Caenorhabditis elegans: one gene and its partner. The protein of the gene in region 1 interacts with the protein of each later gene in a pairwise test. Each region holds a gene or a part of one and is shown on either strand. Other genes may lie near its edges.

Region 1 (12,050 bases):
TTTTCATTTGTCTGCTCAAATGTGAGCTCATCGAAAACAATATGTGTTCACAAAAATATAAGAAGAGTTTAAAAATGATTACTTTTAGATACCGGTTTAAAAAATTTAAGAGAGACTCAACGGTTAACTTTAGTGTATTATTGTAAAGCCTAGGACAAATTCGTCTGGTAAATACGGCCCATAACTATTGGTATTACATTTTTTTTTAATTGAGTTTTTTTTTTTAATATTCACATAGAAATCCCACAATCATTTTCAGATTTCTTCCGACGACTTTTTCTGAAAAATGAAGTGGCTTCTGTATCAGCATTTGACTCGAATTTGGCTATTTCGTGAACATTGTTCTTTCAAGCTCATATGTCTTTAAATGGCATCTCAGGACACGTAAATAAATAAAAAATATTATTTTAAGTTTAATTGGTTTCTTGAAGAGTACTAAAAAAAGATAATAAAAGTTCATTCTTAACACAAGTGTGAGCTTTCTTTTAATACACACGTTTCACAGTTTTCCTAATATATTCTACCAATATATGTGCCTCTTTGATCTACGAAATATTATCCCACGCAATGTTATACTTCAAGCAAAGAAAATTTTTTATGTTTACATCAAATAGCACAGCCGATGATGAGAACCAAAAACGTCATCCACCAAAAATAATCGAAATTATCCAAAAAAATTGAACTCTTAAAAAAAATTGAATCGAGCAGGTGATTTTCCTTAGATATAAAACCTTGACATCTACATCAGTTCTGCCTGATGTACATATGTTTTGCAACTTTACCGAGTATCCACAACCGATTTCGATTTCTTTTAATTTTTCTGAAATCGATGCAAGTTTGCTGGATATTTTACCACTTGGATCGGAATGGATATTGCTAGGCTTCCTGTTTCCTGTATTTTCAGTAATTTTGTACTGTTACCAAGCTTGTAAAAAAGAAGTAGGTGTAAACTTCGAATAGATCTATTATTGATGTTAACTCTTAAAATTGTGTTTTTTTAGAATTCGATATATTACTGCTTCTACCATTTTTGTTTAATCTACCCTATTGTTACTTTTTTCCAATTAGCGTTTTTGTTTCATGACATATTATTAATATCAACTTTCCACTTTTTTGATGGTAATCGAATTGAAATGTACAAATATGTGATATCCTTTCCCATACTGCTCTTTCCAAACTTCGTCACACCAACAATTCCTTACTCTATTACTATGACTTACGCATTATTTTTGAACTGGAAAATTGGAAGTGAAGTTTATGTTATGAGCTGTAAAGTTACAAGGTATACTGATAGTTAGAGAAATGAATTCAATAAATTTTTAGACTGAAGATATACATAATTGATGCGGTACTATTCATAGCTCTTTATGCATTAAGATATTTACCCGACACAACTTGTAAGTCTACTGGTTTTTTTTCAAATTGCCGGTTTCCCGATTTGCCGGAAGTTTTCCTTTATGGCAATGTGTTTGTTTGCCGATTTGCCGAAAATTTTTATATTCGGCAAATTCCGATTTGCCGTTTGCCGTAATATAAATTTGCTAGGAGTGTTTAGAGGGATTTTTTATAAAACGGAAAAAAAATTTAAACTGTGCCTTTTTGAAATTTAATTCCTGTTTTCTTTAGAAATTTTTTTATAATTGGCTTATTTTTAAAAACAGACGTAGGAACATTCATAGGTTGCGTGCAATTTTGCCGATTAAAATTGAAATTCTGAAGTTTCCAAAGAAATGTACATAACCAGAATTTGCCGAAAATTTTCGCCAATGGTCGTTTTTTGGAAACTTTGTCAAATGAGCAGGATGTCGGTTTGACGATTTGCCGAAAATTTTAAATTCCGTCATTTTGCCGATTTTCCGGAAAAAAATCGTTTGTCGCTCACTCCTGATTTAAACAGAATTTTACCACTTAATTGAAAATGAATATCCCTTGTGGGGATATTGCTTTGAAATGCTCATCTAGCAATAAATCGGTAGTTTTTTGCAGTTTCATGTACAACCAATTTTTAAGACTTATTCAATAATAAAATTGCAGACATACCTACATTCAAATCAGTATCAATAATTGTTTTATCATTGCAAGTTTACAGCTTCAGTAATTAATGTTTAAAGTAAAATTTCAGAGATTGGACATTTTGAAATGGATTTTATTAGTTTCGATAACATATCTTCTGTTTTATAAGTTTTATTCCATCTATTATGCTAAAAACGCTAAGAAATTGAGTTTGAAAGAGCGCGCTCGTATCGTTCATATCCTGTTATTCTTATGTATTTCAATTGTAAGAAAATGTTATTGATTATTTTTCAATCGTAGCTATATTTACAGTTCATCTCCCTAGCATCAGTCTCTACTGCGTACTCCGATCATCTCAAATCTCCTGATAATTTTCAAATTGTCACACTTGGATTTCAAGACACTTGCATTATGTGTTCCGTGTTCATTTTGGCAACTTTTGTAGCTCAGGATAAAGTGGAAACTATTTGAAATATTTAGTTCTATTTGTGACTTTTGTTCTTAGTGTCACGGGTCCATTGATTATTTATATAACTGAAATACGCGTCCTCCCTTATTCGGATTTCTGCAACCAAATTTGACGTCTTCCGTTTTTGAATCTGAAATGATAGAGTTTGAGAAAAGCGACAGTTTTGTTAGTCCACTTTTTAAAAAGTGTATTAAAATGATAAATAAGAGCTAGGCCGAGGCGTATTCTTGAGGTTAGACTTAGGCTTAGGCTTAGGCACAGGCGTAGGCTTCGGCTTAGGCTTAATCTGGGCAGGGGAAAGAGGAGAGAAAATATAATTTTCAGAAATTTCGAAAATTCAGAAAAAAAAATTACACAAAATCGTTTTAAAAAAATCAAAGTTCTAAGAAAAAAGACAAAAATGGCACAATCCCAAAAAATCAGAAAAAATACTTTTTAAAGAATTGGGCAGATAGAGAAAAAATAAATCTCAGAAAATACACAAAAAACAAAAAAAGAGACATTCCAAAGTCTGGCAGTGAAGTGGCCATGAAAAATTGCTCGAAAATAATTAAAAAGTATAATAGACTCACGTGTTTTATAACTCTTGCCATGGAATATGTGACGACAATTGCATAAACCGGCAGACAATGCACCACTAAAAAAAATTGAAACTTTCATAGGAACAATTGAAACTCACTTTCTATGAATCCGTGCAATTTCCCTTGGGATAAACTAAAGTCAATAAAATTTGTGGCCAAGTTTCCAAAACAATATACCATCATGAACACAAAATCTAAGCAAGTGAAACGCAATATAACTTTTATCAACATTTTGTTCTCCTCGATTTGATATTTTTGGCTTAACCGGCGCACTTTTGAATGGACTCTGAGTTTCTTGAAAAAAAAAATTTAACCAAAAAAATAGGTTTTTTACGTACCGTGTTCACTCTGTATAATTTCCAACATTGCAAAAAGGCTACAAAATTGGAGAAAATCGTAAAGATCTCTACAACCAAAAGCCAGTCGGAAGGATCATGAAATTCACAAAAATCCGGCCGAGTTGTGAACTTTGAATCAAGAAATAGGGGAACAGTTATTAATAGACTAATTATGATCTGTAATTTTTTGCTAAAAATTTTTCAAAAATTCTAGAAATTACCTGGAAACAAACCAATAAAATACCGACACATGAATTTTTATGTTCATATTTATGCGATAAATATGTCGCCAGAGTTCTTTCAATGGCCATAAATACAGTAGTAAAACTGGAACTGTAAATTCCGTAAAGGTACATGCTTCGGGATATCACACATCTGAAATTACAAGTGGTTAAAAAATGGTAAAATTAAATTTCTTTTTACATTTCAAAATATTGCCGTTTTTCACAAACTGCTAACGGTGCCATCCAGAGGTACATATCGCTGGAATGTTGAAGGATTCTGGAATTAATGGAAATTTCATTCGGCGAAATTGTATACATTCAATGAATGTATTTACATCTATTTTGAAAAGTAAGCAAATTCTATGAAAATAACTAAAGAAAACGAGAAAAAATTTTCAAAAAGGCACAGTTTTAAGTGTTTCCGTCTTGTAAGTATCCCTCTAAACATTTCCGGCAAATCTGATATCCGGCAAACGGCAAATCGGCAACTTGCAGAAAATAAAAATTATAAAACCGGCAAACTGTTTGAATTGAAATTTTCCGGCACATCGGCAAACCGGCAATTTGCCAATTTGGCTGAAAAAAAATTGCCGAAATTGCGCCCACCCTTAATACTTAGGCAAAGCTTGTGTGGTTTATCGTAGACCTCGATACTTGTCGGCTGCTCATTTGGTATAGGAAGTTTGATAAATGCGCAGCCGACATTGATCGAGGCTGCGAGTGGTCATTCAATTTTAAAAAGAGAATTTTGCAAATGTGATAAATGTGCCGAGTACTGCTCTGCCAGGATACTTCAGGAGTACTCCAGGGTTACTGTAGATTTTATTATACATAGTGTCCCCCAAAAAATGGCAGGTCCAAACAATCAGCTCACCTGCCGAAACAATGAATAAGAATGAAGAAACAGTGAAACCCTGTTATCAATCTAATGTTCGTATGAAACAGTGAAGATTTGATGCATTTCACAATTGCCAAAATCAAAATTGGTAAAGCAATGAATGATAAAATCAGCATGATCAGCTCGGAATAATGCAAAAATTTGGAGTCTTGATATTTCAAAACTTCGCGTACATCACACACAGATGAATTTTCAGGTTGCATAGGCAGATGTCTGAAAATTAGTATTTAAAAGTTATACACCTCTTTCAGAGCAAGCAGTAACTAGGAATATAGGTGATTTTTGGATTTTCTAGCAATTGTGTTTCCAGAAATGCACACCTTCAATTATTTATTTTCGATGAATTCTGGGTAAATTAGGTTGCAGATTAATATGTATACTGTATTTTCTAATGGTTAATGAACATTTAAACAAAAAAACAGATTCATAAGCAAAGGTTTGGGGCAAGTTATGTATATTCTGTAAATGTTTCAAAAATGTCAAAAATTTCTCATAAAAAGATCTTGCACAAAGTAATTATAATTCGGCTTGTTCTAAACGTTTGAGCTCTAGATTTGGGTCTTTGATTTTTCAAAGTTTATATACTACATTCAGATAAATTTTCTCGGTCTATAAAGAACGCAGGCAAATTAATGTAACAAATTCAAATTAGCAAAGAATTTTTTTAACAAAGAAGTGAATGGCTGTCTAGAAGGAAGAAAACAATGAAAGTTAATATTAGTCCACACGTAAAAATAAAATTACGGGAATGTAAGTGGGCGATTGTTTTCTGCTTATTATGTGTTCCAAGCAACTAATTGTATTCGCATATTTGTCAACTATAGCAAAAATTTTCCTGGAAAATATGAAAGTTCAATAGTCCAGTAATCCAGGTAGTCCAGGAGTGAAAACCAAAAATCTTTTTACTGAGAACTAGCGAACAGGACATTGCTAGAAAATACGTTTGGATTTACTTTGAAAGTCTTTTATTTTTATCAGAGATCGTATGGAATTTTAAAACTCGAGAATCTTTAAGTAAATGCTAATGAAACTGATGTCCAGTACAGAATGCAGAATTTTGCAATTTTGTTCCAAAAATATGGTGCCTCGACACTACAACTTCTTATTGAATGCAAAAAGGTCAAGCCCTTAAACAGTACTCCATAAATCTTCTGTGGTAATTTCATTAATTGGGTTCGATAAAATTTTGGGTTTTTACATGCTATAGTTTAAAAAAAATTAAACCTATGAACCATCAAGTAAATCAGACCAATATCAAGAAAGTTCAAGAATGTAGTATTTTTTAAGGGGCACATTTATTAAAATTTAGCAGAAATCGAAAAATTTTAGTTAATTAGAGAACATGCTTGTTCCCTAAAATTGCTCGACAGGATTTTTGTTAAATCTGAGAGCACAAAAATTGAAATTTTTAATGCACGAATTAGGTTCTAGTGATATCACTAAAGTTTTATACAAGGAAGTGAAAAATGGAACTGAACTACTTGCTTTCTTGGTTCAACCACCCCTATTCATGCTTAAATGATTTTTTATTATAGATGTGAGCTAAGCCTGGTCTCAGTGTTTTCCTTATTTTTCTGACTTTAATAAAAAAAAGGGCTAAACAGGCGGCTTGGTTGTTCATAAAATTATTTCTAAAAATTATTTTTTATTTTCTCCAAGGCGTGTTGAACAGAAAAATATTGAACCAAAAAAATTTTGAGGCGTTTATATTGATGTTTTCGTAGTCAATATCGAAGAATGTAGGAAGTAAGATTAATCACTTGTGACCTATCACTCGTGATATTTGCAAGTTAATCTTTATTATATATATTAGGATAACCATTCAAAAAATGAAAAAAAATCCGATAAGTTTATACTAAAGTTGTGGGAGGAGTCTTTTTTGGTGGAATACCAATTTTCGATTGAATTTGAAGGGATTTTCAAAATACAAATACAAGAAAAATATCAGAATAAGTTATAACAAACAAAACTGAAAAAAATAATTTTGACGAAATTTAAGAAATGACGAGATAATTTTCCCAGACAGATTTACGCAAAAAGAGCATTATGAAAAACCAAAATTTTGAGATTAATTCGAAAAATTTCAGAAATTGAAAATCATTGTGTACTCAAAAGACAATGGGGCCTTGTCCAATTCTTTAAAAAGCATTTTTTCTGCTTTTTTGGGATTTCGCCATTTTTGTCTTTTTTCTTAGAATTTTGATATTTTTCACGATTTTGTGTACTTTTTTCTTTTTTTCTGAATATTCGAAATTTCTGGAATTTTTATTTTCTCTCTTCCTCCCCCTGCCCATTTAGATTTAAGACTAAGCCTAAACTTAATTGAAAAATGAAAATAAAACGCTGTAAACCCAAACCTAAATAGCTGACGCTCGATACTGACGCCAAGCCTAAGTCTAAGCCTAATCCTAAGCTTGAGCCTAAGTCTAAGCCTAAGCCTAAGCATAAGCATAAGCCTAAGCCTAAGCCCACGTGAGTATGATATTGCCAACCATAGAATTCAAAATTCGTACATTATATCATTTTACATAGCTATTATTGAGTTCCCTACCGCTTTTTGACAGACGACTACAAATAAAAGTATAAAAACTATATAGCGGTTTGTGTCTTGTAGTGTACTATAACCTTTGCCCCTTCCCGTCGTACTCTCCACTCGTTCTTGAAACAAATGGACAACCTGGAGACAGAAAAGAAAGATAACATGCCGCGAATTGACTCTCAATGTCTCCTTCTCTTCAGCGTTTTATTGCTCTCACCCACGTTTTGTGTCTGCGTCTCTCATTGATTTGTTTCATTTCTCCTTCTCACTTTTTTTCAAGTGTTTTTTTTTGTTTCTATAATTTTCTTTGATTATTCAAGATGTCTCGTGGGAATTGCAAGGTTTGCGACTCGCCAAACGCGACAAATTTTCATTTTGGAGCACATTCCTGTAAGGTACGTTGTTTTTATTGTTGCTAAAATTAAGTTGATTAATTTATTTACCAAGCTTTTTTTGTTTTTCCTGTCTTATCAGTAGAACATTTTTATTTTCTCTTGTTTTTTCGGAAATATTTCACCCGCAAAAAAAACATTTAAAAATTCAAAAAACTTCAGTAGAGTGAACGGCAAACGATTATTTCCGGCAAATCGGCACACCGGTAACTTGCCAGAATCGAAATTTCCGGCAAATTGGCCAGTTGTTGGAATTTAAAATATCCGGCAAATAGGCAAATCGGCAAATTGCCGGAATTGAAATTTGCGGCAAATCGGCATACAGGCAAATTGCCGATTTTCCGAATTTGCCGGAAATATGGCAATTACCGAAAATGTTCGGCAAATTGTGAACTTGCATTTTTTTTCCAATCGCAACCGGCAATTTGCCGATTTACCAAAATTTGCCAGGCCGCAGTTGCCGCACACCCTGCTGCAATAGATAACATATGTTTACTCAATGTTTCGTTATGTAAAAATTTGAAATTGTTTCCCTCCTGCGCCTAGCCATCATGTTGAACAGTTAGGTTTGGTCCCCATTTTTTGAATTTTTTATAATAGCCACGAAAAATCAAAATCTACATAAATCTACGTAGTAGTTGCCTATTCAAGTGAACTTTTTCAGGCCTGTGCAGCTTTCTTCCGTCGAACTGTAAAAACTGGCCAAATTTACTCATGTCCCGGTGAGAAAACCTGCGAAATCAACCACGTGTTCCGACAAAATTGTAGACAATGTAGGCTGGCAAAGTGCTTGAAAGCTGGGATGCAGGAAGAATGTAAGTCTATTTTAATATGTTTGTAAAATCAAGTTTTTGAATTTCAGTAGTACAAGGGCACAAAATGAACGGAGAAAATAAGCGGTCCAGCCCAGTGGATGTTATAGCTTCTACCTCTGATTGTAAGTTCATTTAAAGGTTGAGTAGCGTTAGTTTTGTCTGAATACACATATAATGATCCAAAAAACCGAATATCATAGTAAAACACTCCAATAAATTTTAAATTTTTCATAATTTCCGCCATAAGTTTTGCAAACTGCCAAAACTTTAAAAATTATGAGCTTTTGAGGAAATCCAAAGCATTTACCGACCACTACCATGTTTTAATACAAAAATATTAAAGTAAAATTAAAATATAAAAAATGAAGGAAAAACTATTTTTTACGGTCGACTTCAAAAATTATGAGTGGCAAGAACTGACTAGGGAACCGTCAGAAGGTGCCCATCGGACTTGCATGTGACACCTATGACATTCGATAGCCCATGTCTTATAACGGTTATTCGTGAATTTTTAGTGGCAAAACTCCAGAACCAAGCTCACGGTGGGCTCTCAAAGATCCTAAAATAGCACTGTAACGAAGCACTTCAACGATCTAAAGAAGCAATTTTCCAATTTCACTTTGGTAGCTCATATCTCGGCGGATAAATTTTTCACAGAAAAGTCATCAACTAAAAAGTTGTTGATGTTGTTGTAAAGAACAAGTTCCTAGTTGAAAGTTTTTTACCAAAAATGTTTTGTTTGAGTTAAAAGCATTAGAATAGACATCACAGCATAAAAATAACATCAACAGTTGCCGCACTTCACGCGCTTTATCTCAAACAAAACTTTTTTGTTAAAAACTTTCAACTGGAAACTTGTTCTTCACAACAATATCAACAACTTTTTGGTTGATGACTTTTATGTAAAAAAATTATTCGCGGAGATATGAGCTACCAAAGTGAACTGGGAAAATTGACCCTTTAATGCTTCGTTAAAGTGCTATTTTAGGATCTTTGAGAGCCCACCGTGAGCTTGATTCTGGAGTTTTGCCGCTAAAAATTCACGAGTAACCGTTTTAAGACATGCACTATCGAATGGCATAGGTCTTATTTGCAAATCCGATGGTCACCTTCTGACGGTTCCCTAGTGAGAAATTTTCACTTTTTGACAGTAAATTTTTAAAAAAAATTAAAATGCTTTAAAAGTTTTATTGTGATATTTTAAATCGAAATTACTTTTAAAAATAATTCTAAAAATTTTTAAGACTACGATCCTCTCCAATTCCCAATTCAATCAACTTCACAGTCAAGCGAATCATATTATCCTCCCGCAAAATCGATGAAAATTGATGATGATCTAATGGAAATCGAAGAGCTTCAGCATTTTATCAAAATTCCCAATGAGCCGTCACTAGCTGTATCTCCACCTATAGATGTTATGGAGGAGGAAGATCGACTCTACAAGCTTGCTACACTTTATATAGAGCAATTCGTGAATCTGAATATGAGAAGAAGACTTACATATGCGAATGTATCGCTTTCTGCGATGTTTGATAATCCTTGTGTTTGCGTAAGTTTTTTTTGAAAGTGCGAGATCATATTCTGGCAATATTTTTTCGGCATTTTTGTGTGATCTTCATTGTTTAGTACTAATTTTTTAAAGGTGGAGTAGCGTCTGAAGGTTTTTTGCCTTGAATGACAGAATAAAGTCTCATTATACCAAATTTAACTGTAAAAAATTTTTTAAAAAATTTCTAAATTTTTTATTATTTTTTAAATTTGAAAAAAATAGGGCTAAATTATTTTTGAATTCCCGCGCAAATGAGTGACGTCATTCTTGACATTTTTTGCGTTTTCCGCCAAAACTGATTGGTTCTTCTTGACTTGTTTTGATTTTTTTAGTTTCAGAAATTTTTCAAGAAAAGTTAAAATTAATGTCGAATTATACAATTTTAGACCAATTTGAACGTTTTGGCAATTTTCATAATGAGTAGCCACTTTTCTTTACTGAAAAATGTCTGAAAATGTAAAAAATAAAGTTTCAAAATATATATCAAAGAAGAAATGAAGAAACTAATCAGTTTTCACAAAAATGTCAAAAATACTCATTTGCGCGGGAATTCAAAAATAATTCGGCTCTTTTTATTTTTTGAAAAAAAAACGAAAAATTTAGAAAACTTTTTTATTAATTTTTTAACAGTTGTATTAGGCATATTGGGACTGTATTCTAGCTTTTTTTTTTGAAAAATTAAGAACAAACTGGTCGAAAATATTTCTGAAACCAATTTTTTCCAGCCATTTGACCTCTCCGACATGAAACCGCTCAGCTACGATACCTATCGATACAAAAATCGCAATGATTATACCATGATTTTGGACTACGTGAATCGGTTCCCCGAGTTCCATCTGCTGAATAAATCCGAGAAAACTGTGCTATTCCAAACTACGGCTGCAGTTGACGCACTTGCGGATCCAGCTTATTATAGTCAGGTGTAAGTTGATCGGAATAAAAAAAAACAAAAAAAAAACATAAACTTTCAGAATCTACCCGGATGAGCCAGTTTTTGTGACGCGAGAAGCCAAATATCTGAAAATGGATCCTATGCCATCTACGGAACTTGAAGTGGTGCCCCAAGATTGTAATTTAGAAGATATTACTATTTATAAGTAAGTTTTAAATATTGAAATTTTTTAAATGTATTTCTGTTTCAGAAATGTCGTGCTAATGATTCGGCGGCAATGGAAGAATGTTAACGAGCCATTGAGAAAGCTGAAATTATCCCTCGCAGAGTTTTCATTGTTTAAAGCATTAGCGATTTGGCATTATAGTGAGTTGAAACGGGGAATCCTGCTAATGTTTAGACAAACCAGCAGCCGACAGATTTCAGGCTCTCGACATAGATTAGTGTCGGCTGCATACGTCTGACCAGAAAACATATTAATTTTTCAGATTACTACAAACTCCAAAACACGGGTCGTCAAATCTCGGCTCGCCAACGCGATGACATTTTCCGAACACTTCTCCTCATATGCGAAGATGAAGGATATGATGATCCGATTCTCAGAGTATCTGAAATCGTTCTGGCCGTAGGAATTGTGATGTCAGAGGTTCATGAGCTCGTGACTACGATGTTTGAGATTACGGTTTTCGCAAACGTGGATGATCCGATTTTGAAAGATATGCTCAAGTTTCAGTATTAAATTACGAGTTTTTTGTAATGATGCACATATATGAAATTATTCAGTTTAGAAAAGTTTAATTTTAATTTTTACGAATCGTGGATTTCGGCTCCAGGATAATGTTGAACTACAAGAAAAAAGAGAAATGAAATCAGTCTTCATCTAGTCCAAATATTTTCAGAAGCAGATTATCCAGAATTTTTTAATATAGATTTGATTACTAGCTTTGAAAAAGTATAATTTTCAGTCGAACAACTTTTTTTGTTAGAATTGTGTTCCCAAAAGACCTAAAGGTCTCCGTGGAGAAAATCAATGACTATTTTATAGATTGGTCAAAAATTAAATTCGAAACCAATTTTAGAATATTAATTTCAAATTGAAATCATATTGTGAACTTGTGGATTTTTCAAGTATAGTTCCAAATGCAGTTATTAATCTATGTAGGTATATAAATTTTTAAAAGCTTGATGGGATTATTAATCTCATTGGTAAATTTAGAATTTCAAGGTATCGGCTGGATTCAATTTATTTAATAACATAACTTGCAAATTTATGGTTAATTGGGAAAATAGTTATGATCCACGGTAGGTAGAGTATCCCCATGGACTCAGAGTCAATGGAA
Region 2 (13,639 bases), on another chromosome or scaffold:
ATAGTGACTAATAACTTACAGTACAAGCAGTCAATGCTTCCATCTCAACTCCAGTATTTCCACTGCACCTGGCAGTTGAAATGCAATGAAGTTTTGAGTTTTCAATATCATGATTAAATACGGTGTCCACAAAATCAAGACGTATTGGATGACATAATGGAATCAGATTTGCAACTTGTTTTGCACCCAAAATGCTTGCAATCTAAAAATAAAAACGATCATAACAACATTAAAAATCCACTCTAAAAGTTTTACCTTGGCAACGGTTAAGACATCTCCTTTCTTGATGGTATTTTCAGATATTTGGCGGGATATCTCAGCGGTCAGCTTGAAAATGACAATTTTTTTAAAAAATTAATGCACATGAAATAAATGTTTTGTTCGGTCAGGAGCCACAAATTAGTATATGTTTCAAATTTGACTAAAGTGTGTGAACAAGAAAATAATTTTGTGATAATAAAATTGAATGGGTTTTAACACTACATATACAATATTTTTTGAATTAGCTGGAAAAAATACACATTTTTTTTTTCTTAAAAAAGAGTTGTGGATGTGGGGGAAATTCTTTTTAAATGTAGTATTCGTTTTCAAACTAAGAGGAATAACAAAATAAAAAACTGTAAAACGCAATTAAAATTCAGCATGCTAAAAGTCACGAATAACTTTTAAAATTTAAATAGAGAAAATAATAGAAAAAAACAAAAACAAAATGTGTGTCGATACTACAAAGATTTATGTTTTCATTGAATAAAATACTGATGTTACGATTTTCCCATTTTAAGTAAATCATGAGTTAAAAATAAAAGAATTTGTTCCATATGAGCATAATCTCATAATTCGTACTAAAACTTACAATGATTGTTCCTCTTGCCACAGCTGTTCTTGTGCTGGTATCTTTTTGAGAGACGTCAACTTGTTTTGCGTTGCCATTGTTGTCCACATGAGTGAGCAAATGAGTAATTGAAGACACTGAACCGAAACTATTTCACCGGCTTCAAAATTTTGCAAAAACTTACCTGAGTAGGTTGTCGAGAAACATCGAATTTGAGAAATAAAAAAGTGACGAGAAGAATGCAAGTGACTATGATAAAGCGAACTAGATGGTAAGTGAACAAGTATAGAAGATGCGGATGTTACTGTAATAAAAATGAGATTCGAAAAACAGGTACCAAATTAATACCAGGAGTTAGCCCCCGATAAGAATCATTGGACGATTTGGCAGGTTCTTCAGAGCGTCCATTCCTGAAAACTGTATTTTTTTCCTACTCAAACAGTTTGATGGGCTACTTACCGGCATGTCTAGCTTTTTTGTTGTTAACGGCTTTTTGAATGACCTCGGAAAGCTGTTCGTCAGAGTCGCCACAACGAATTCTATCACGTAGACTTACTTCGGAATTTCCATGGAGGCATACCTTAAATTAATTGAAATTAACCAAAATTCAAATTCAAACACAAATGTGAAGGAAGGACACAATCGGGTATGTTGTTGAATGAACATTTTCTATTTGCGGGCTGAGATTATGCATAATAGCGGGAAATGTCAGTGAAAATTTTAGTTTATGCACTCTGAAATATTCAAGGTTTTTCCATATTCTTATTCAATGTTTTTTGATGTTCCAATTTTTCGAAGCATTAAGGTTTTGTGATAAATTTAGAACATTTATGCATGTTTTAAAGCCTACTGTTTTAATTAATATATTTTTTTAATCAATTTTATTAACGCATTATTTCAGGAGGTCTTTCATAAAAATGATTATGATGGTACAAGTGAGAAATACTCGCAAAGTTTTGCACTTTTATCTGAAATTCTCCAAAATGAAAAATACAACTTTTTATTAATAGACATTATTAATTGAAAATAAATACCTCAACGACACCTCGTAACTTCCTATAGACTAAAGATTGAATGCAAGCTTTATATAACTTGAAAACAAGTATTAAAGGTGTTAACAACGAGTTGAAAAGAAAAAAGGAACCTGAATGTTAGGGAACGAGACGAAATACAAAGGAGAAGAGCAGAGAGCACAACTTGTGCAGAGCGGCGGCTGGGCGCAAATGAGGCCAGGTGGAGGAGGCAAGGCGATGACGAACGGAAAGGATCGCTTCGCACAAAATCTTATGTTATACATTACATTTCGTCTCTCTTTCTCTCTCGGACACCCAACATTCACTTAGATTTTCGAAAGATGAGTTTATTACTGGCAAAGAATAAGAATGCAATATGATGAGAAAGGAATAAATACAAAAAAAGAGCGAAATCAATTGCGTCCTTGGAAGTGCCACGAAGGACGACGAATGAGCTATTATAAGGATGCATGATGTCATGTGAGAGGTTTCCGTAGATATTTCCTCCCAGAAAGATAAAATCAAAATAAGATTTATGAAATGAAAAGAGGAAGTCACTAGAAATCAACATGTTTATAAAACTTAATAATACATTAATGTTCTTCCGGTAATTTTCAAACTTTACATTTTTCAACTACTTACTTTCAAATTTCCATCAGCTGTTATTCTCAGCCTATTGCAAGTGTTACAAAAGTGATCTGACATCGAGGTGATAAACCCAAATTGTCCTTGGAATCCATCAATCTTATACGCTTTGGTTGTGTCATTCGGTGAGTCGGATAACCGTATTACACCATCTCCGTATTTATCAACAATTAAATTAAGCATCTCTCGATAGCCAATGAAATTGTCATTTTTGAACTCATTACCCCCAAAAGGCATGAACTCTATGAAACGGACGTCTAGGTTACGATCTTTAGTAAGATTAACAAAATCAACAACTTCGTTCTCGTTTTGGTGTTTAAGAACAACTACGTTTAACTGAAAAAAATTATGGATATTTAATTGACAATGCTCAGAAATTGAGACTCGACTCACTTTAACTTTTGGGTAGTAACCTCTCGCTAATTCAATTGCTTTCCAAACTTTATCAAATCCGTCACGTCTTGTCATTTTGGCAAATTTTTCACGATCAAGGGAATCAATACTGATGTTTATCTAAATTTATTTAACTTTTAGAAATTAAGTTTTTGTTGAAATTTCAAAAGTGTTTTGAAAAGCAAAAAGAGGATTGGATATGATTATTTGATTTGCTTCCACAAGTAATATTGTGGAAATGAATCGATAAACTTTTTAGGCAAACATGAAAACAAAAAGCACAAATGTCTCAATAATTTCCCAATTCTGATTGAAAAACATGTTTACTTTTGTCAATCCGGCATCTCTCAACTGTGGTAAAAATCTCTGCAAAACAAGACCATTTGTAGTTATACCAACTTCTTTGATTCCTGGAGTAGATGAGATCCCTTCTGTAATTGAATATGCCATGTTTCTCCACTGAAGTCATATTTCTACAATAAACTCACCAACAATATGCACAATATCCTTTCTAATAGTCGGTTCACCTCCTGTCAGTCTAACTTTGTCAACGCCATGTGCAGCGAATAACTTTACAAGTCTTAATACTTCACTGTTTGAGAGCATTTTGTCTTTGGGCTTGAGAGGAACACCTTCGGCTGGCATGCAGTAAAGACAACGGAAGTTGCATTTTTCCGTTAGCGATATCCTCAAATAAGTGTGCTCTCTCATAAACATGTCAAAAAATGGTGGCTGGCCTTTTGTGTGTTCAATCTGAAATTGAACGATGAACGACAAGTGAACTTTCAGAATTTTCTTATATTTTCTTATCTCTTTCTCTGATTTCTGAAGCTCATTTGCACAATATGTTTAAGAATACCTCTTGAATTTTTAGTCTGACTGCTTCTCTTTTTTGTTCGGGCGTCAACGTGAGTATTGGTTCGGCATGTTCTCGTAATGGAACAGTTAGTTGTTTTACAATTTCTTCTGTTGACGACTTGACCCGTGACCATTGAAATAACTTTTTTCCTGCTCGACAACTCATCTGTAATATTTATATCAAAACACTTTTAAAAATGCGGTGCGATTAATTTATTGATTAGGAATTGAGAAAAAAAACAAAACCTAGAGAAAAGGTGTAAAGTAAACTCCAAGCAGCACATTGTGGCTCTCACGCTCAAACATAAATCGTGGGCGTTGAAACCATAGAAAATGCAAAACGGAACAACGGGAATGTTTTGTCATCATACAGGTTGATGGGCACTCTACTCTGCATTGGTGATTTGCAATTCAATTCCGAAAAGTGATTTTTGTGTCGACGAAGGAGAAAACGAACGTGTTGCAGAGAACAAAAAGAAAAAGAGGGATAGAGGCTCAGGAATTTTGGACTTTATATATCAGGAAATGTATTTTTAATGAAAATGAAATATCATGATTCGGTCTAACGATTTGAAAAACTCAGTAACTTTTGAATGTCAATAAAAAATTTTTATTCCAGCTGTTGAAAAGTGTTACTATTCTATTTGATCATTTTGGCATTTTATGGATAATTTTTAACAATTTTCTTACTGTCGCTACTCCACCTTAATTAATTTCTGATGCAAGTTATTAATTTCTGATGCAAGTTATCAATGTCTGATTTTCAAATGGTTCGTGAAAATAAATCGAGGTTTTATCATTATCTTTTAATCAATATGATTCTGACGCTAGAAACACAATATTTCTGGAAGAGACAACAACATTGTTTGTCAAAAGATAAACAAGCGAATATATTTCAGAACATTTGTGTGCTCTTGACTATCATTTCCTCATAGTTTCTAAATCAGAAGGAGTGTTGCCATTATGAGTAAGTTAAATACCGTGTCCCAAAAATATAGTGTACTCATAAACCCCTTTTTTTAAAGTTGTCACGTCCTCCAAGTGTCCCATCTTCCAAACATCTCTATTTCTCTCTGTCTTTCTTTCTGACGTGTCTTTTTAACTCTTTTGGTGACCCCTGTAATTTGTACATTGTATAATAAAGCATAGACTATTTGAGACAGAGAGAGCGATGTGAAAAGGGCACTTGATACAACGTAAAAAAAATTGTTACAGCTGGCATCTTCAATCTGGGCGCTCGACGATCTTCGCTGATTGGGATGAAACTATGGAGATGGAGAGGTGAGGATTTTTGGGGTAAAAATATTCAATCAATTTAAGTGACTCATACAAACACAAAAAAATCATGTTATCAAAATCCATTCAATAATAAAATTGCAAAAAATAAATACGGAATGTTCCAATCTGCCTCCCTCATTCCCATCCCATTCCATTCTTTTGTTCTGTTTGTCCTGGTTTTCATCGAAATATTGATAAACTCCAATGGAATCTGCAACTGACGAGTTTTACTACCAATCTCGCATTCCACCACAGCCATCCCCTTTACCAGCTCAAACTCTTGAAATTAACGGTCACAAATATGTTCTCAATCATCGTTTCAAGAGTATCAAGATTGGTAAGTATGGTTATACGTCCGAGTGATTGGCAAACGACCTCGGGATACATACGTTTTGTTAGCCGGATAGTTACGACGTGTTTTTTTGGAGGGAGAAGACGAACGGAATAGAAAACTTAGACATTAGTCATGCTTGTCAGTTGTGTCGCGCGTCTCTTTGTGCCAAAAAACTTCGCCACATGTTAAAAGGTTGGTCAACTTTTGTTTGTATCGAGGGAAATACTGAACTTAAATGCAACATTAATATTTTCATAGAATAAAATGTAAGTATTAGTTTCAAAAAGTTACATTTTAAAGCTTTATAATTTGCAGCTCAATTTATATTTTCAAATATCTCTGAGAAGCATGTGAAAATATAACTTTCATTTTGAGGTGTTCGTAACATTATATAAGTTCTCGTCTTCTGAACACTACCTAGAAATTTAATATATTGTTGGAATTGGAGTTGGAAATGTTGGAAATCATGTGGGGATGCCCGAATGTAGGTGTCCCTGTAAGACAAAACTAGGCAAATCAATAAACACGATTTTTTAAGTGATAATGTGTATGTATTGTAGCTTTTACTTGTGAATTAATTTCATAAGCAACTTAACTTAACTGTGCTAGTGGTATTTTTTGTTTAGTTACATTTTCCTAACAATGATACACTTATTTTGATTGAGCAAGATGCTCAACATATTTCTACTGTCTTTGATGTTTCACATGTATAACGCAAATTTTGAACATACATGTTCAAAAAATCATTATTTACTCACTTATTAACAACATTGGTATGACAATGTAATTTAAATTGCGGTATATTAAATCAATAATTTTTTATGGTTTAAAATAAGTTTTGAGTTTTGACTACTTCTCTAAATTTTGAATAAATTACAAAACGAGTTACTTGTAAAGATGCCGATCAACTTTTGTAGCACAATAATTAAAGTTGTCCTGTACTTTATTCATAGCTTTATTTAATTCTAAACAAATTTTATTTTACTTCACGGGTCAGTGTTCAGAATTGAAACAATTAAAACAAACTAGAGTTCAATGTTTTACTAATAACACTCACTATCAGGTTTCTTTACAAGCTTAAACGATGCGTTTTTTATATTTTTATATTATTTAATTTCAAATTATTCAAATGTTGTTCAAAAAGTTGCATACGGCTTGTCATTTTTTTTTGTCAGATGTCACCATTCTCTGTTGTCACGCTCTTAAAATTGATAGTGTCAAAATGTCAACAGTATTTCTTCACACAATCAGAATAGTCGCTTCAGAATGGCACAAAAACTTAAAGTAGGCGGCGATTTTTGGTTTTGTTTCACACTCTCCCAATCTGCCAGGTTTCTCGCCGCTTGGCGCCGATGCCCGGGTAATGTACATAATCAAACGCACGCAGCATACCAAAGTCGGGGCTCTTATCACTTGCACAACGCTTTTTCAATAGGTGCCTGCCGCACTGCGTCGTTTCATGAACTTGGTTGTACGCTCGCCTCATTTTCTTATAGAGTGTACACTGTTTTAGGCGTTTTGCCGGCATAATGGCCATTATTTTACTCCAAAAATGAAATATTTTTTGTTTCATTCCTTTCTTATGACACATGTTGCGGTGATAACCATAATCGTTATGATGGAAAGTGGAATTCAGGAATGTTGGCAAACAAAATGACTTTATAACACTATTTCTTCAAAAAATATAGATATTTGTGTTTTATTGATTTAGGTTCACCGTCTTAGGGTTTTTTTAAGTTCTATAACTTGTTTAGTTGTATATTTTTTATAATATTTAGTGTCGCATGCCTTTAGCAATTAACAATATCAATAAAGAAAGTTTCTCGGATGGCAAAAGCGTTATCTACAACAGACCAACCCTGCCCATAAAATATTATAAAACTTTTCCCGCAAAAGTAGTGCATTACTTATGAAAATTGAATGTCAAACAGTTTGCAAAAAGTTGGTTTTCAGTCTCTCATCGGTATCCACCAATCATCCCGATGTCGGTCGACGAACAAGCGGTACCACCGGAGGTTTCGCCTTCAATGGCTGCCAACATTCCACAGATGGTCCACGATCAGCTAGCCGCACAGTTTTTGCCAGGTACCTCTTGTTTAGGTTAACATACACAACAAAATTTCAGCGGCAAAAAATCTTGGGCAAGCCGGAATGCATCTACTGAAAACATATTACAGTAAGTATTTTTGATCAGAAAACAATAAGTTCTCTTACACAGTATTCTTTCTATGCTTTTGTTGTATTTTAAAAAACCTGAGAATGCCTAAATTGTGGCTCGAAAATAGCGGCAACAGGGAAAACAATCGGCGAAGAAAGATATAGGTTCCTTCGCTACGAGATATTCCCGCGCCAAAACGGTAGGCACTCTCATGATCTCATGGTTTCTTAATATTGTAAGAGATGAGAAGTAAAAAAAATTAGAAAACGTTACTGCAAAAAGTTGGCAAATATACGTTGAAAGTATTATAGTTATCATGGTCGGGACGGTTTGTAACAATGGCTCAATAATGTGAATAAAATATACTCAGCTCATCCCATTTCTGTGTTAATAATTTGTTTATAACTCAATTCAGTTTGTATCGCAACACATGAAAACATGTGTAGTTGAAAGACGCATTCATAGAACTCGAGTTTTATATTTTCATAGTTTGTGCCTAAAAATTCAATGACAAAAACTATATTTTTTGTGAGAGTGGAAATTGAAACATTTTCGTTTGCAATCCATATCAATGTAGGTCAAGAAAAATAGCTTTTCAATAATCACATCAAGTTTTCAAGATGACAAGAGTATATAAAAATTTGCAATTTTCAGTGTTCCAAGAAGCATTGTCAAACTATTGTGATGCCACTCACAAACTTATCAAATCAGCTGATACTGCTGGACACAAATCGAAAAATGAAGCTCGAGAGCTTTCAAAAGTTTTTAAAGAGTTTGTACAGGGAGTAAATGCTCATCAAAAAGTCGTAAGCATCAATCTAAAGAAAAGTTTCGCATTCAATATATAATTAAACATAGATTACGGAATTTGACGCGCTGGCACACAAAGTTCATGACTATAGCAACAAGGAAAAAGACAAGCTGAAGACAGAATTTGCTGAGTACAAAGCAAAAGAAAAAAAACTTCTGAAACGCAAAAATGGAGAAACTGAACAAGATATTACCGCGTTCCATAAAAAAGAAGCAGCCAGCTGGGCAAAACAACAGGAAATGAGATACAAATTTTTCAATGACAAGCTGCAATCCTGGATTCACGGGTGAGTTAAATGTAATTAGAATTGTGAAAATAGCAACATTAATTCAATTTCTGGAAAAAAAAACTCTCATAAAATATTATCAGATACGTCGAAATTGGGAAATTATTCCAAGCCCAAGAAGTGATTGTTCAGCCAGCAGTTGGGAGTGTGATCGCTGCACCGGTTGAAATTGAGACCATACCAGAAGACCACAAAGATTGGCATCAAGATTTACATGAGCATGCCGCCGTTGTTGCAGCTGAGGAAATTAAAGAGAATGTTGAAAAGGTAAAACACAATTTAATGCGTGTATATCATATTAAATTTCAGAAAGTAGATGAAGCTGTACAGGACAGCCGCAGCAATTCGACTTCATCGGTTGCAACAACGCTAGAGGATCTTCCATCTTCTCGTCGTCTCACAAATGACGTTTCCGGAGTCACACTGGTTAGTAATTATCGCCGTCAATCAATTGAGGTTAGTTGAGGACTAATATGTCATGTGAAGAAATGTTTCAAAGTTGTTATAAGTCAATATTGTGTATAAACAATAGGTCATAGTTACATTAAATCACGTACATAAAACTTATAATACATACGTTTCATTTTGTATTAAAAAAAAAGAACACTCACATTTTCAAAGTTTATTACTATGTGTAAGCCATCGGACTAGTTGTAGGATACTTAAAATTTGAACTGTTGAAGCAAGGAGGTATTCAAAATTTCTCCTATTTTGAAAAATTCGCATCTGCAATAACACTATTTTTTAATGTTTGTATAATGTCCGCATGTGCTATTAAATTATCTAGGATAAAAATCAATAAAAAACGCAACATTTTGAATTTTAATTTAGATTAAAATCAGTTTATTTATTCATAGTTAAGCCTGCATGAACTTTCAATCAGCAACACAGTGTTTTCAAAATTTAACAATAGAATTCAAAAATGTTTGTAAACATCGAAGCAAAAGTCTTTAATCGAAAAAAGAAATATTAGCATCGTTTTGTCAATTAGATTTTATTGAGTTTTCACTTTGGTTTTGAAATCTTGGCAATCTTTCTATCACGTTTTAGAAATGTTACGCGAATTTTAAAAGGCTGACTGAAGAACAACTATTTTCACGTGTTACATAATTATCAAAATTTTTTCGTAACAACTTCACGTGTTTGTTTAATGGTAGAATAGCGACGTATGAATAGTTGCTCTATTTGACTCAAAATTACCTCACATAACATTACTATATTTTATTTAATCTTTCACATAAAGTTTTTATCAAAGATTTGAACTGCAGTAAAAACATTTCATATTCTTATTATGTATTCACAACGTGCCCCGAATTAAAATACCATGCATTGGTTTTTACAAACAGTAAATGCAACTGGTTTATTTCGAAGAAAAATTTAATTGCCGTATTAATTTCAGATTCAACAACTTCCACCCAACAACAGCTACTCCCACATTGCTCCACCAGTCTTGCCGCCAAAACCAGTTGTCGAAAACCCCCAATATGCTCCGATTCGCGCTCAACCAGTTCCAGTCACACGCCAGGAGGAGAGCACATACGCCCCTCGTCATAATGTTGTCGCCGAGGTAAGCATCTGGTGTAATCATCTTTTCACTCGCTATTATTTGTCCATTTTGATAAAACTATGCGTTTCCAGCAAGTGCCTCAACAGCCGGTTAATAGCGCTCCAGGTGGTGTCCGCCGTGCTGGAAACACAATTCCAGGTGCTGTTAATGTTTTCGGATTTGCAAATCAATCAAATCCTCAGCCAAATGTCCGCTACACGCCTGTTCAGGTAAAAACTATTCGTGTAATTTTCAATTTTCAAGTGTGATAATCCTTCAGAATAGCACGCCTTATCAAGTTGTTACCAGCGATTATATTCGCGTTGGGAGAGTCGTCGATAATCCAGTGACAGAGGAGCAAATGAATGCTAAAAAGTGAGTACTCACAAGAAATTTGAAAAAAAGAACGACATATTCAGATTCCACGTGGATTCTAGTTACCTTCCAATGGCTGCTCCATCTCACCAAGCACAACAACACAGTCGCAATCATAGTACAGATATTTCGGTTCCATCATTCTTCAACCCATCACAATATGGAAGTATTCTGATTGTTAACGATGATTTCAATGCTTCTTCCGGAGAACAGATGACTGTGAATCGTGGAGACAAGGTACCAAAAACTTTCTAAATAATTTTGAAAAATTAAACTAAAACTTGTTACTTTTTGTGACGTCAAGAAGAAAACAAAAAGAATATAAAACTTTCAAGCAAAACGGCAAACCGATAAAATTTCTAACAACAGACCGGTGCCCTAAAAAAGTGGTAACATTTGCCTGTATCAATATTTTAATTTGACACTATTATAGGATTTGAAAGCCTACATGAGTAGAGTTTCATGAATGTTTTTTTTAATCAAAATCAATTTAAGGTTATTAATTTTTTATCAAAAAAATCTTAGCATTGGTTCGAGATATTTAATTTATGGAATTCGTTTTTACATTCAAACAAGTCCTTACTGAACATTTGTCTAACAGGCTCTTTGTAATATTTAGTATTGAATTAGAGAATACTTGCAAAACATAGTGTAGTTGAAAACTATGTTGATGTTGTTCTTTGTTAGATATTTTGAAACATGCATTAGTCACCTCCACAATTTTATCACATCTGATTAATTTCAGGTAATCCTCTTAAAATGCGGATCTCGTGGATGGGTGTTTGTCAGAGATTCGATTTCTAACCGAACAGGATGGGTTCCTGAGCCATATGTCAACCCATAAACTTTCAATTACAAAAAAACAACATTCTTGTCATTTCTCGTTTTGTCTGTGACTTATCTTCCCATATTTTCACCAGAACGCCTATTTTTGCAAATAACTATTTTGTGATTTCCTGTAATTCCTTGATTTATTTCCCCAGTTTTTAAATAATTCATTCTTATCCCAGTGGTCCAGTTTTTATCAATATTTTATTCACAGTAAATAAGTAATTAAAACACATGGTAAAGCAAAAAATATTATTGTATGGTAACATTTAATGAATTTAATGATTAAAGTCATGAATGTTGGTGTAATTCTTAATTAGAGAGTGTTTGGGAAGAATTGGGCAACCTGATAAAAAAGCAACTTCAGCAAAAAAAGATTCTCTGCCATAATCAGAACGAAATCAAGGTGGCATGATTACAGTTTTAGAGAAAAAGCAGCAAAACTTATTGGAATCAAAAATAATCTTGAATAAATTCGTAATGATTTAATATTGTTTGGAAACTTTTTAGATTTTTGTTGATCTATCATCAATACTAGAGGTGTAGAAATTATATATTAAAAAACGCAGCACACGTGTTTAGAATTACGGTTGGAATAAAAAAGGAAAAGAAATTCAAGCACTTAGAAGGCCATTATTATCCTCTTCTTTGCAGTTACGCATTGCTTCTTCCAAGAATCCTGAAAAATGCTGTTACTTGTATAATAAGAGTTAGTGTCGAAATCTATACCTCTCTTCATTTCACGGACAATGACAGTCATTAACTTGTTCCATCCCAGACGAGCCAAGCAATTTTCTCCGCTGTATACATTATTAATATCAGCAATCTTAAGAATATAAGTTTAGAATTGTGCAGTAATGTTGGAATCCTTAACTCCTACCGGGATAAGACTTGCATCAGTATCCACTTTTCCATTTGCAGTTCCATTGCTATTAGTATCCTCCTTTTCTTTGGAGCTATCCGTTGTTCCGGTTGTTACTTGATCAACTGTTACTTTTTTGAAGACAAGCCAGTTATCTGCTCCAAAATTGACTCCTCTGTAGAAATGAATTTGTCCAATACGATGTGCCATGTCAAAAACACTGGAAATTGGACAAAAACCGAGAGATCCGACTGCCGTGTCAAGGAAGTTCTGGATACGGTGCGCCTGGAAATCTCCTATTTTTTAAGAGATACTTGTATTATCAAAGCAACTTTAAATGTTTATTTTCTTGTATTTGTTGATTATTAATTTTTTGGTACAAAACTATGATAATGTCTTCAATCTGATAATTTCAAACTCTTTAAATGTTTGGAGTAACACGGAATTTTTTTTGAGTTGACAGGTAACTTCTATTCAAAATCTAAATTTAAACATCCTCACCTGTAAATGAAATTCCTTGCTTTGATTCAAAGCACGAATATCAAGACTTTCACTCTGAATACCGAAATACTCAGCAAACTTTGGACGTTTTTCAATGAGCGTCTGCAGAATCTTCTTTCCAACGTTGTCGGTTTTCGCGCTGCAAAACTTTGAATTCAAAAAGCAATTATTCATGGGTTAATGGACATCGATCAAAATCTAATACATGTGGAAGCAAGCCGAAGACGTAACGCGTGATGCTCGCATAATCGAATTCATTTTGCTTGTATCATTTTTAGATGATTTCTGGCATTAAATTAGGTCTGGTCTATGAGGAGTAAACAAAAATACATATTAGTTCAATTTTTTTCACATGTAATTGGCAGTTGTTTTGAGCTAAAAAAAAGATATTAATTTTACTTGCCAAAACGAATTTTCAAACTTATTATAATAGCTGCTAATGAAATTTTTTTAAAATAAATGTTAATTTGTGTTCACAGATTTTTTGAAACAGAAGAAAACACATGTAAGCCTGTTCACCTTTTGTTCAACTGGAGTAAACTTATGTAACGAAGTGAGCTAACAAATAAAAACTGTTATTTTTTAAAACTTTGAAAAAAAGTTTTCAAAGGTTTCATTTTCAAACTGAAAAATATGTTATACGGTTTTATATTTGCGCACAAAGGAAGAACGAAATCAGCAAAAATAACGACAAGGCAGATTTAATACCGTGTATGGCAATTAAATACCGTACGACTTACACACCAACAACCGTATTTTTTACAAGTTTGCTTTCACTATCTTGTTACCTTAAAAAACATTTATTTCAAAAAGTAATATCGAATGCGATACAAAACTGGAAATTAGGTTCTTTGAAATGAATAACAGAGAAATTACTGTTTAGCAATGTATCGAGAAATAATTATTTTTAATCAGAAAA

Evidence for each region.
Region 2: the proteins of nhr-256 (region 1) and F49E2.2 interact in a two-hybrid assay, tested with the Caenorhabditis elegans proteins (one large-scale study listed by BioGRID).

What each region holds. Positions count from the first base shown.
Region 1 is NC_003283.11:1,736,432-1,748,481, forward strand, and holds nhr-256 (NR LBD domain-containing protein), read left to right. Parts: upstream 1-7,339; 5' UTR 7,340-7,382; coding exon 7,383-7,457; intron 7,458-8,118; coding exon 8,119-8,269; intron 8,270-8,316; coding exon 8,317-8,391; intron 8,392-9,513; coding exon 9,514-9,818; intron 9,819-10,543; coding exon 10,544-10,740; intron 10,741-10,789; coding exon 10,790-10,915; intron 10,916-10,960; coding exon 10,961-11,076; intron 11,077-11,198; coding exon 11,199-11,449; 3' UTR 11,450-11,550; downstream 11,551-12,050. Other genes in the region: str-160 (Serpentine receptor class r-10), read left to right, coding at 260-336; srab-25 (Serpentine Receptor, class AB (Class A-like)), read right to left, coding at 2,496-2,612, 3,055-3,119, 3,162-3,357, 3,402-3,578, 3,623-3,776, 3,825-3,902, 4,500-4,726; putative 5-hydroxyisourate hydrolase ZK697.8, read right to left, coding at 12,001-12,050.
Region 2 is NC_003284.9:9,562,073-9,575,711, forward strand, and holds F49E2.2 (SH3 domain-containing protein), read left to right. Parts: upstream 1-5,223; coding exon 5,224-5,356; intron 5,357-6,710; exon of another isoform or gene 6,711-6,835; intron 6,836-6,963; exon of another isoform or gene 6,964-6,984; intron 6,985-7,306; coding exon 7,307-7,438; intron 7,439-7,478; coding exon 7,479-7,529; intron 7,530-8,165; coding exon 8,166-8,317; intron 8,318-8,369; coding exon 8,370-8,608; intron 8,609-8,691; coding exon 8,692-8,875; intron 8,876-8,917; coding exon 8,918-9,064; intron 9,065-10,007; coding exon 10,008-10,175; intron 10,176-10,246; coding exon 10,247-10,384; intron 10,385-10,434; coding exon 10,435-10,529; intron 10,530-10,573; coding exon 10,574-10,766; intron 10,767-11,274; coding exon 11,275-11,373; downstream 11,374-13,639. Other genes in the region: moc-5 (GTP 3',8-cyclase), read right to left, coding at 20-202, 256-327, 854-969, 1,017-1,136, 1,181-1,249, 1,292-1,412, 2,488-2,826, 2,884-3,003 and 3 more; glb-17 (Globin domain-containing protein), read right to left, coding at 11,972-12,036, 12,087-12,183, 12,232-12,504, 12,721-12,859.